3 linked regions of the Macaca mulatta genome follow. The protein of the gene in region 1 interacts with the protein of each later gene in a biochemical or structural test. Links are inferred from orthologs where the notes say so. Each region holds a gene or a part of one and is shown in the gene's direction. Other genes may lie near its edges.

The links.
Region 2: the proteins of DAXX (region 1) and HDAC1 form a complex in vitro, tested with the Homo sapiens proteins (2 studies listed by BioGRID, with this or other methods). The link is inferred for Macaca mulatta from reciprocal best matches to the Homo sapiens genes DAXX and HDAC1.
Region 3: the proteins of DAXX (region 1) and RASSF1 form a complex in vitro, tested with the Homo sapiens proteins (4 studies listed by BioGRID and IntAct, with this or other methods). The link is inferred for Macaca mulatta from reciprocal best matches to the Homo sapiens genes DAXX and RASSF1.

The regions. Positions count from the first base shown.
Region 1 is NC_133409.1:148,970,299-148,972,530, forward strand, and holds the end of DAXX (death domain-associated protein 6), read left to right. Parts: intron 1-37; coding exon 38-263; intron 264-417; coding exon 418-883; intron 884-1,043; coding exon 1,044-1,266; intron 1,267-1,458; coding exon 1,459-1,518; 3' UTR 1,519-1,700; downstream 1,701-2,232. UniProt on the Homo sapiens protein: Transcription corepressor known to repress transcriptional potential of several sumoylated transcription factors. Down-regulates basal and activated transcription.
Region 2 is NC_133406.1:208,585,171-208,588,920, reverse strand, and holds the start of HDAC1 (histone deacetylase 1), read left to right. Parts: upstream 1-1,512; 5' UTR 1,513-1,578; coding exon 1,579-1,627; intron 1,628-3,750. UniProt on the Homo sapiens protein: Histone deacetylase that catalyzes the deacetylation of lysine residues on the N-terminal part of the core histones (H2A, H2B, H3 and H4).
Region 3 is NC_133407.1:113,814,808-113,818,457, reverse strand, and holds part of RASSF1 (ras association domain-containing protein 1), read left to right. Parts: intron 1-643; exon of another isoform or gene 644-752; intron 753-867; coding exon of another isoform or gene 868-879; coding exon 880-986; intron 987-1,334; coding exon 1,335-1,736; exon of another isoform or gene 1,737-2,875; intron 2,876-3,303; exon of another isoform or gene 3,304-3,451; intron 3,452-3,650. UniProt on the Homo sapiens protein: Potential tumor suppressor. Required for death receptor-dependent apoptosis. Mediates activation of STK3/MST2 and STK4/MST1 during Fas-induced apoptosis by preventing their dephosphorylation.

The DNA.
Region 1 (2,232 bases):
GCAAGGGATTCCTTAGAGAAACTTCTTTGTCCCCCAGGGCCCTAGTGGAATGGCATCCCAGGGGTGCCCTTCTGCCTCCAAAGCTGAGACAGATGACGAAGAAGATGAAGAGAGTGATGAGGAAGAGGAGGAGGATGAGGAGGAGGAGGAGGAAGAAGAAGAAGAGGAGGAGGCCACAGATTCTGAAGAGGAGGAGGATCTGGAACAGATGCAGGAGGGTCAGGAGGACGATGAAGAGGAGGAGGAAGAGGAAGAAGCAGCAGGTATGTCAAGGGAACATTCTCCTCACCTGTCATTTGTTTTTGTTAGGCATAAGCCACCTGTTTGAGACCTTTCCCTTCCTCCTCCTAGTGTCCTCTCAGCAGTATTTTTTCCCCTCATTCTCGGGCTACCCTCTCCCCTTTTCTTCTTTTCCAGGTAAAGATGGAGACGGGAGCCCCATGTCCTCACCACAGATCTCCACTGAAAAGAACCTGGAACCTGGCAAACAGATCAGCAGGTCTTCAGGGGAGCAGCAAAACAAAGTGTCACCCTTGTTACTGTCAGAAGAACCCCTGGCCCCCTCCAGCATAGATGCTGAAAGCAATGGAGAACAGCCTGAGGAGCTGACCCTGGAGGAAGAAAGCCCTGTGTCTCAGCTCTTTGAGCTAGAGATTGAAGCTTTGCCCCTGGATACCCCTTCCTCTGTGGAGATGGACATTTCCTCTTCCAGGAAGCAATCAGAGGAGCCCTTCACCACTGTCTTAGAGAATGGGGCAGGCATGGTCTCTTCTACTTCCTTCAATGGAGGCGTCTCTCCTCACAACTGGGGAGATTCTGGTCCCCCCTGCAAAAAATCTCGGAAGGAGAAGAAGCAAACAGGATCAGGGCCATTAGGAAACAGGTAATAACAACAGGAGGAGGAAGAGGGAAGCCAAGGAGGGATTGCAGGGGACTTTCGGAGAGGAATATTGGGGAACTGAGTCTGCTGGGAGAGACTGGACTGCCCTCCTCCAGCCTCAGTCTTCCCTTACCCCTCCGCATATTTATGTTTCGGTTTCTAGCTATGTGGAAAGGCAAAGGTCAGTGCATGAGAAGAATGGGAAAAAGATATGTACCCTGCCCAGCCCACCTTCCCCCTTGGCTTCCTTGGCTCCGGTTGCTGATTCCTCCACGAGGGTGGACTCTCCCAGCCATGGCCTGGTGACCAGCTCCCTCTGCATCCCTTCTCCAGCCCAGCTGTCCCAAACCCCCCAATCACAACCTCCTCGGCCCAGTACTTACAAGGTAAGAAGGGGAGGCCGTGTTTCCTCTGATAATTTGTTCTCTTTCATTGTCTGTTTCAGCTGCTCTGTCTGAATATTGCACCTGCCACATCCTGTCTCTTTTTCCCACCCGTTTTATCCTGTAAATCCTCCTGTCTGTTTCTTTTCTCCTGTACTCTAGATCTCTGACTCTTTGTCTCTGACTTCCCTGCAGACAAGTGTGGCCACACAATGCGATCCAGAAGAGATCATCGTGCTCTCAGACTCTGATTAGCTGCCTCCCCTTCTCCCTGCCTCCAGAATGTTTTGGGATAGCATGTGGAGGAATGTGGGAAGCAGATGACTGAGGAAGGGATGGACTAAGCTAATCCCCTTTTGGTGGTGTTTCTTTAAAAAAAAAAAAAAAGCTTAAGTTTTACACAGAAACATTAATAATAAAGTTCTTTTCTTACTGTATCACTGTCTTTTTCTTGTCCTTCTACTGTTACAGATTGGCATTAGCTGTCCCCTTGCTCAGGGTTAGCCCAATATCCCCGGGGTAGTCCCGATCTGTCCTTTCTAGCCTGGTCTTTTGTTGTTGTTGTCTCGCTGTGTCGCCCAGGCCAGAGTGCAGTGGTGCGATCACAGCTCACTGCAGCCTGGACCTCCCAGTCTCAAGTGATAATGCCCCAGTCTCCCGAGTAGCCGGGACTACAGGCGCGTGCCACCATACCTGGCTAATTTTTTGTTTTTGTTGTTTGTATTTTTTGTAGAGACAGGGTTTCGCCATGTTGTTCAGGCTGTACTTTTTTTTTTTTTTTAAGTGCTTCAGCCGCCTTAACGCACTTTACTTTTTCACTTCGTGCAGTAGGAGTGAAAAAGCCAATGAGGGGCCGACTCAAGGTTATTTGGCCAATCCAGGCCCGGAGAAAGGGGGCGGGGCTTCAGGGGGCTGTAAGGAGCTAGGAAAAGGGCGATTAGATCCCACCAACCAGCTAATGGTCACAGC
Region 2 (3,750 bases), on another chromosome or scaffold:
GCACAGTACTTGGCAATGTCTAGAGACAATTTTGGTTGTCACAGCCTGCGGGGAAGGTGCTACTGGCATCTAGTGGGTAGAGGCTAAGGATGCTGCTTAATTTTTTTTTTTTTTTTTTTTTTTTTTTTTTGGAGACAAGAGTTTCGCTCTAGTTGCCCAGGCACAGAACAGCTTCCTACAAAAAAGAATTACCTGGCCCAAAATGTCATTAGCTTCCAAGCTGAGAAACCTGCTCTTCTAGGCCAGGCACCATGGCTCATGCCTGTAACATTGGGAGGCCGAGGCGGGCGGATCCTGAGCTCAGGAGTCGGAGACCACCTTGACCAACATGGAGAAACCTCGTCTCTACTAAAAATACAAAGTTAGCCGGGCGTGGTGGCGCATGCCTGTAAGGCCAGCTACTCGGGAGGCTGAGGCAGGAGAACCGCTTGAACCCAGACGCAGAGATTGCGGTGAGCCGAGATCACACAGCACAGATCACACCATTGTACTCCAGCCAGGGCAACTAAAGCGGAACTGTCCTCAGGGAAGGGAAGGGAAGGGAGGGGAGGGGAGAGGAGGGGAGGGGAAGGGAGGGGAAGAGAAGGGAAGGAAAAAGGAAAGGAAAAAGGAAAGGAAAGGAAAGGAAAGGAAAGGAAAATCTGCTCTCCTATCATAGGATAATCCCATTTCTTCCTGTCTAAAGAGACTCCTACTTAAGTCATCCTGGGTGACTGCTTCAGGGAGGTAGGTTTTGGAGTCAGAAAGGCTGGGTTCTGTCACTTTGTTACAGTGCCTCTGGTGCAAAGAAGGCATTCAAAAAACCCTGTACAGTTGAAAAATTGAATTTAATTACTTTGTGTAACTTTGAGTAATTCACAGAAATCTGAACTTCTTTATCCTGTCCTGTAAAATGGAGGTAAAAAGCCCTTGGCCGAGAGGTGTTTTGAGGAAAAACTGAAATAACATTGGTAAACTGTCGCACAGTACTTGGCACACAGCAGCCCCTCGACAAACAGCTTTCTTTCCCTTTCTTGTCAGTTTCTTCCTCTCAAAACCAGCGTGTTGCTTTTCTTTTTAATTTAATTATTTTTCTGTAGCCCTCCTTTGCGATCACAAACTCGCTTTCTAACCCAGGTTCAGCCCTTTTATTGGCTGAGTGACCTTGTGCAAGTCACTTTTCCCCTGTAGGCCTCGGTTTATTCTCCGTAAAATCAGAAAGTTGGCCTCCGATCTCCAAGCACGCTTTTCACGACCAAGTGGGACTGTTAAGTTTACGGAGCTGCTTTCCTCCCCCGGGACTGATGGTACGGTCCCCGGGCGGCTCCCCACCCATCTGTCGCAGACCTTGGTACAGGCCCAGGGGGCCCTCGGCGGCCTCTCCGGGCTGCCCTTGCCCCCTGCCGAGTTCCGGGCCCGTGTCTGCGCAAGCTGATTGGCTGGAGCGGTGCCCGGGCTGCGCGGCTATAGGTGAGCTCAGGAGGGGACGGGCGGGGCGGGCCGGAGACCCGCCCCCTCCCCCCTGGGTCGGACGCTGAGCTGAGCCGCGGGCGGGAGGGCGGACGGACCGACTGACGGTAGGGACGGGAGGCGAGCAAGATGGCGCAGACGCAGGGCACCCGGAGGAAAGTCTGTTACTACTACGACGGTGAGCACTGTCCTCGCGGCGGGGGCGGGGCCGGGCCGGGCCGAACCGGGGACCTGGAGGCTGAGGCTGGAGCGCCGATGGGAGGCTGCGGGAGGCTGAGGCGCTGGGGAGAGGCTCGGAGAGGAGGCTGCGAGGGGGAAGTCGAGGCTGAGGGAGGAGGCTGTGAGGAAAGGAGATCGAGGCTGAGATCGAGGGGATCGCGTGGGGGAACCCTGAGGTAATCTTGGTGGGAAGATTCTGAGGAAGTCTGATGTGGAGAGTTTGATGTGGAGAGTTTGAGTGGGACTCCTAGAGGGGAGGGTGCGTCCGAGGAGGGAGGCTGAATCTGATGGAGACGGCTGCAAGGATACATTTTCTTGCCGAGAACCCAAAGCTCTTCCCTGCCCCGTCTCTTCCTCATCTTTTCTGGGAGAAGAGCCCTGCACGACTGGTCGCCCGCCTCCCCTCCCCCAGCCTCTGAGCGGGGCCTGCGGTTGCTACTGCGACGTGGGGCGCCAGGGGTTGCAAGGAGAAGGATGCAACCTGTTAAAACAGGCTTCTCACTTAATCTCTCAAGCAGGTTACTGTGTTCGAGGAAGTGTTGAGGGGCTGGGGCGGTGGGAATGATCGGGTCCCAGTGACCGAAGTTCTCTCCGTGTCAGAGCTCAGAGTGTTAGAGGAGCACAGAGAATAGGCACCGAACTCCACCTGAGGAGTCAGCGAAGGAGGGGACGTCTCAGGACCTGAAGAACAGGAGTTCTTAGCCAGGCAAAGGGAAGGCAAAGATAACAGCAAGTTTCAGAGGCAAGAGAGAGGACAGCACCTTTGAAAAACAGGCATTTGACCGGGCGCGGTGGCTCACGCCTGTAATCCGAGCGCTTTGGGAGGCCAGGGCAGGCGGATCACTTGAGGTCAGGAGTTCGAGACCAGCCTGGCCAACATGGCAAAACCCTGTCTCTACAAAAATATAAAAAGTAGCTGGGCGTGGTGGCGCGCGCCTGTAATTCCAGCTACTTGGGAGGCTGAGGCAGGAGAATCCCTTGAACTTGGGAGGTGGAGGTTGCAGTGAGATGAGATCAGGCCACTGGATTCCAGCCTGGGTGACAGAGCAAGACTCTGTCTCAAAAAAAAAAAAAAGGGAAGAAAGAAAAGCAGGCATTTGTAACAGTATGGCTGAGACATAGATTTGGGGGCCTATTGTAGAAGGTGGGGACCCGGGGCGAGGGAAGTGTTGCAAATAATGTGGTTGCTGAAGTAAATGGAGACCGACCAGGTGAGGTGGCTCACACCTGTAATCCCAGCACTTTGGGAGGCCAAGGCTGGTGGATCATCTGAGGTCAGGAGTTCGAGACCAGCCTGGCCAACATGGCGAAACCCCGTCTCTACTAAAAATACAAAATTAGCCGGGCATGGTGTCGCGCACCTGTAATCCCAGCTACTCTGGAGCCTGAGGCAGGAGAATCCCTTAGAACCCGGGAGGTGGAGGTTGCAGTGAGCCAAGATCATACCACTGCACTCCAGCTTGGACAACGGAGTGAGGCTATGTCTTAAAAAAAAAAAAATGTAAACAGGGACCAGACCATGAAGGGCTGGGCATGCTGTCCCAAGGAAGTTGGACTTTATTGAGGGCACTTGTGAATGATTCAAGTTTTATGCAGGTTAGTGACATCATCAGGTTTATACCTTAGAAATTAAAGTCATGGGCTGGGCACGGTGGCTCACACCTGTACTCCCAGCACTTTGGGAGGCTGAGGAGGGCAGATCACGAAGTCAGGAGATCGAGACCATCCTGGCTAACTTGTGAAACCCCGTCTCTACTAAAAATACAAAAAAATTAGCCGAGCGTGGTGGCGGGCGCCTATAATCCCAGCTACTTGGGAGGCTGAGGCAGGAGAATGGTGTGGATGCGGGAGGTGGAGCTTGCAGTGAGCGGAGATCATGCCACTGCACTCTATCCTGGGCGACAGAGGGAGACTCCGTCTCAAAAAAAAAAAAAAGAGAAAGAAATTAAAGTCATGGGGTCCAGGTGCAGTGGCTCACGCCTGTAATCCCAGTACTTTGGGAGGCCGAGGCAGGAGATCACTCGAGGCCAGGAGTTCAAGACCAGCCTGGCCAACGTGGTGAAACCCCGTCTCTACTAAAAA
Region 3 (3,650 bases), on another chromosome or scaffold:
CCCCTGGGAGTCAAAGGGAGCAAGCTTCAAATGATGCTGAGTGGGTGAGAATGGAGAATGGAACACTGCATTCCATTTGGCAGCGCATAGATCGCTGAGGACCCTGTCCTGGGCAGTTTCCTGGAGGGAGAGGCAAGCCTGGCTGAAGTGGGTAGATGGGAGAGTGAAGGCGAAGGATTAGAGTGTATAGAGACCAATGTTTTGGTCTGAGGGGAGTACAGACAGATGACAACCAGAGGGCAGAGGTAGGTTAAAGGTGTTTAGTTTTTCCTTCAAGTAAATGGGCAGATGTATTCCATAGAAGTTCCCAATGAAGGGCCGGGCGCGGTGGCTCACGCCTGTAGTCCCAGCACTTTGGGAGGCCGAGGCGGGTGGATCACCTGAGGTCACGAGTTTGAGACCAGCCTGGCTAACATGGTGAAACCCTGTCTCTGCTAAAAATACAAAAATTAGCGGGGCGTGGTGGCGGGCGCCTGTAATTCCAGGTACTCGAGAGGCTGAGGCAGAAGAATCGCTTGAACCCAGGAGGCGGAGGTTGCAGCGAGCCGAAATCGCGCCATTGCACTCCAGCCTGGGTGACAAAAGGAAGACTCCGGTTTTTGGTTTTTTTTTTTTAATTGCCAATGAGGAAAGGGGAAGCTCTGTGCTAGGCGACAGAGATCCCAACTGTTGAGCAGGCCTCTGCTGTGGCCTTCCGGCCGGTTTCCAGACACCCAGGGTGGCCAACATTAAAGTCCGCATAGCAGTGTAAGGTAAAACACTGAAGCCGGGCCTGCGGAGCCTGGCGGGCAACGGCCCTCTTCCTGGGGCTTCCCTTCAATCTCCCGGACATTTCCCCGACCTGGGGCTCCTCCGCCTCACGGCTAGGCCTCTCTGCAGATTGCAAGTTCACCTGCCACTACCGCTGCCGCGCGCTCGTCTGCCTGGACTGCTGCGGGCCCCGGGACCTGGGCTGGGAACCCGCGGTGGAGCGGGACACGAACGTGGTGAGCGCGGGGCCGAGGGCGTATGGGAAGGGCGAGGACGGGCAGGCCACAGCGCAGGCATTCTCGAAGACTGCCTGGGTGCTGCGCGCAAGGAGCGTTCTAAGTGCCGATTTCCCGGCGGCAGAGAGAGGCTAATTCTGAGCGAGGGCTGAGAGGGGTGCCTGGATTGCCGGCTCCGCAAGGCCTCCACCGGCTGCTAGCAGACCCCAGCCGCTAGCAGTCCCCAGCCAAGGCGGACGCAGGCTCCGCGCACGCGCACTTCCCGCACCTTCCCGCCCTCGCCTCCGGCCAGAGGCCACCCTTGTGCGCTTGCGCGGACGCTGGCACCCGCCCCGTTCCCTGTGGTAGGTGGGGTCTCTGAGTGGAGCTGCCGGAGCGATGAGGTCATTCCTCGGGGCTAAGTGTGCGTGTCCCCGCCCCGGCGTTCCTCCCCCAATGACACAAGAGCTAGATCCCGGCGATCTACGTTTCAGTCTTAACGGTTGCGGCGCGGCGCTGGCCCGGGCGCACGCGCACACTGACACGCGTACACGCACGCACGCGACCGGGGCGGTGGTTGGTGGCTACGGACGCGCGGGACCAGGGGGACGGGCGGGTGCGGCGATGGGCGAGGCGGAGACGCCTTCTTTCGAGATGACCTGGAGCAGCACGACGAGCAGTGGCTACTGCAGCCAAGAGGACTCGGACTCGGAGCTCGAGCAGTACTTCACCGCGCGAACCTCGCTAGCGCGCAGGCCGCGCCGGGACCAGGTGGGAGCCCGGGGGTGCCGGCGGGGGACGGGAGGCGATTGCTGGAGCTCCGCCCTCCCCGGTCCGTTGCCGCGTCCTGGGTCGGTGGGCAGCCCCACCCTCCCGGCTACGTGGCTCCCCGCGTGTCCTGGCCGGTGGCCTGCCCGCAGAACCGTGTGTAAGACCCCGATTCCACCGCCTCGATACTGGTTGCCTGGGCCCCCATGGTTTCTGTCACAGACAGGTTGAACAGGGAAAGCAGCTGTGTGGCTTGTGGTAAACCTGAGCCGGGCATTATCAAGCTATGACTAAAGCCGACCGAGCAGTCTGGACTAGCACCTCGATTTCCGCGTTCAGATGCTCCTGCTCCCTCCTTGGGGAGACTAGGGGAGGAAGTGGAGAGGGAGGAGTCCTCGCCAGGAATTGAGAAGTATGTTTAGGAAAACTGAGAGGCAGAGAGAGATCCTGCTCCTCCATTTGCACTCCTTTACGGAGCCAGCTGAGCCCTCACCTCTTCCCTGTTCTGGCCTGTCACCAGCTGCTGGAATGTGAAAGATTTTGATCCCTTCCTCTAGGGTGGATCTGGAGAAAGATTTGGAAATAGGAAATAGGATAGGAAAGAAGTCTTATTTTGGACCATAAGCATTCAGGAGCACTTTACCCACAAGAAGGGGGAAGGGTAGATTATAAAATGCCTAAAGAGGTGGAAAGAGATCCAGGTTACTAACCCAGGACTGTAAGGTGTCTCGGAACCTCCTAGGTATCCCCATTATTAGAGAACTCTGTGCCAGATGTCATGGGTGTGACCACCAGGCTCAGAGAACCAGGCCCAGGCACCAGGAAAAAGAAATAGGGACTGTGAAGCTCAGTATGCCTGGCAGCAATGGGGCGGAAATCCTTATTTAAGTGAAGAAAGTGGAGTTGTGAGTGATGCTTTGGATAAAATTTTACAAAATTCCTTACAAAAGGGGTGGTGCTCAGCACCCCAAAATCTTAGCCCAGAGCTTGGGTGCAAGGGTTGAGTGTAAACCCCTGGGCTTGTCTTCATGTCACTCAGTCCTGAGCCATTTTCCACTGTGGGAAGGTGGGAAAACCACAAGACACTAACCAATTGAAAAGGAGGGCTAGGCCGGGCGCGGTGGCTCAAGCCTGTAATCCCAGCACTTTGGGAGGCCGAGACGGGTGGATCACGAGGTCAGGAGATCGAGACCATCCTGGCTAACACGGTGAAACCCCGTCTCTACTAAAAAATACAAAAAAACTAGCCGGGCGAGGTGGCGGGCGCCTGTAGTCCCAGCTACTCGGGAGGCTGAGGCAGGAGAATGGCGTGAACCCGGGAGGCGGAGCTTGCAGTGAGCCGAGATCGGGCCACTGCACTCCAGCCTGGGTGACAGAGCAAGACTCCGTCTCAAAAAAAAAAAAAAAAAGAAAGAAAAGGAGGGCTAGCCACGGAGGCACACACCTGTAATCCCAGCTACTTGGGAGGGTAAGGCAGGAGGATCACTTGAACCTGGGAGGCAGAGATTGCAGTGAGCCAAGATCGTGCCAATGCACTCCAGCCTGAGTGACAGAGCGAGACTGTCTCAAAAATAGAAAAGGAAGCCAAGTGCGGTGGCTCACACCTCTAATGCCAATGCTTTGGGAGGCCGAGGCAGGCGGATCATTTGTGATCAGGAATTCGAGGCCGGCCTGGCCAACATGGTGAAACCCTGTCTCTACTAAACATATAAAAATTAGCCGGACATGGTGGTGTGTGCCTGTAGTCCCAGCTACTTGGGAGACTATGAATCACTTGAACCGGGAGGCAAAGGTTGCAGTCAGCCAAGATCGCGCCACTGCACTCCTGCCTGGGTGACAGGGTAAGACTCTGTCTCAAAAAAAAAGAAAGAAGGCTGGGCTTGGTGGCTCATGCCTGTAATCTCAGCATTTTGGGAG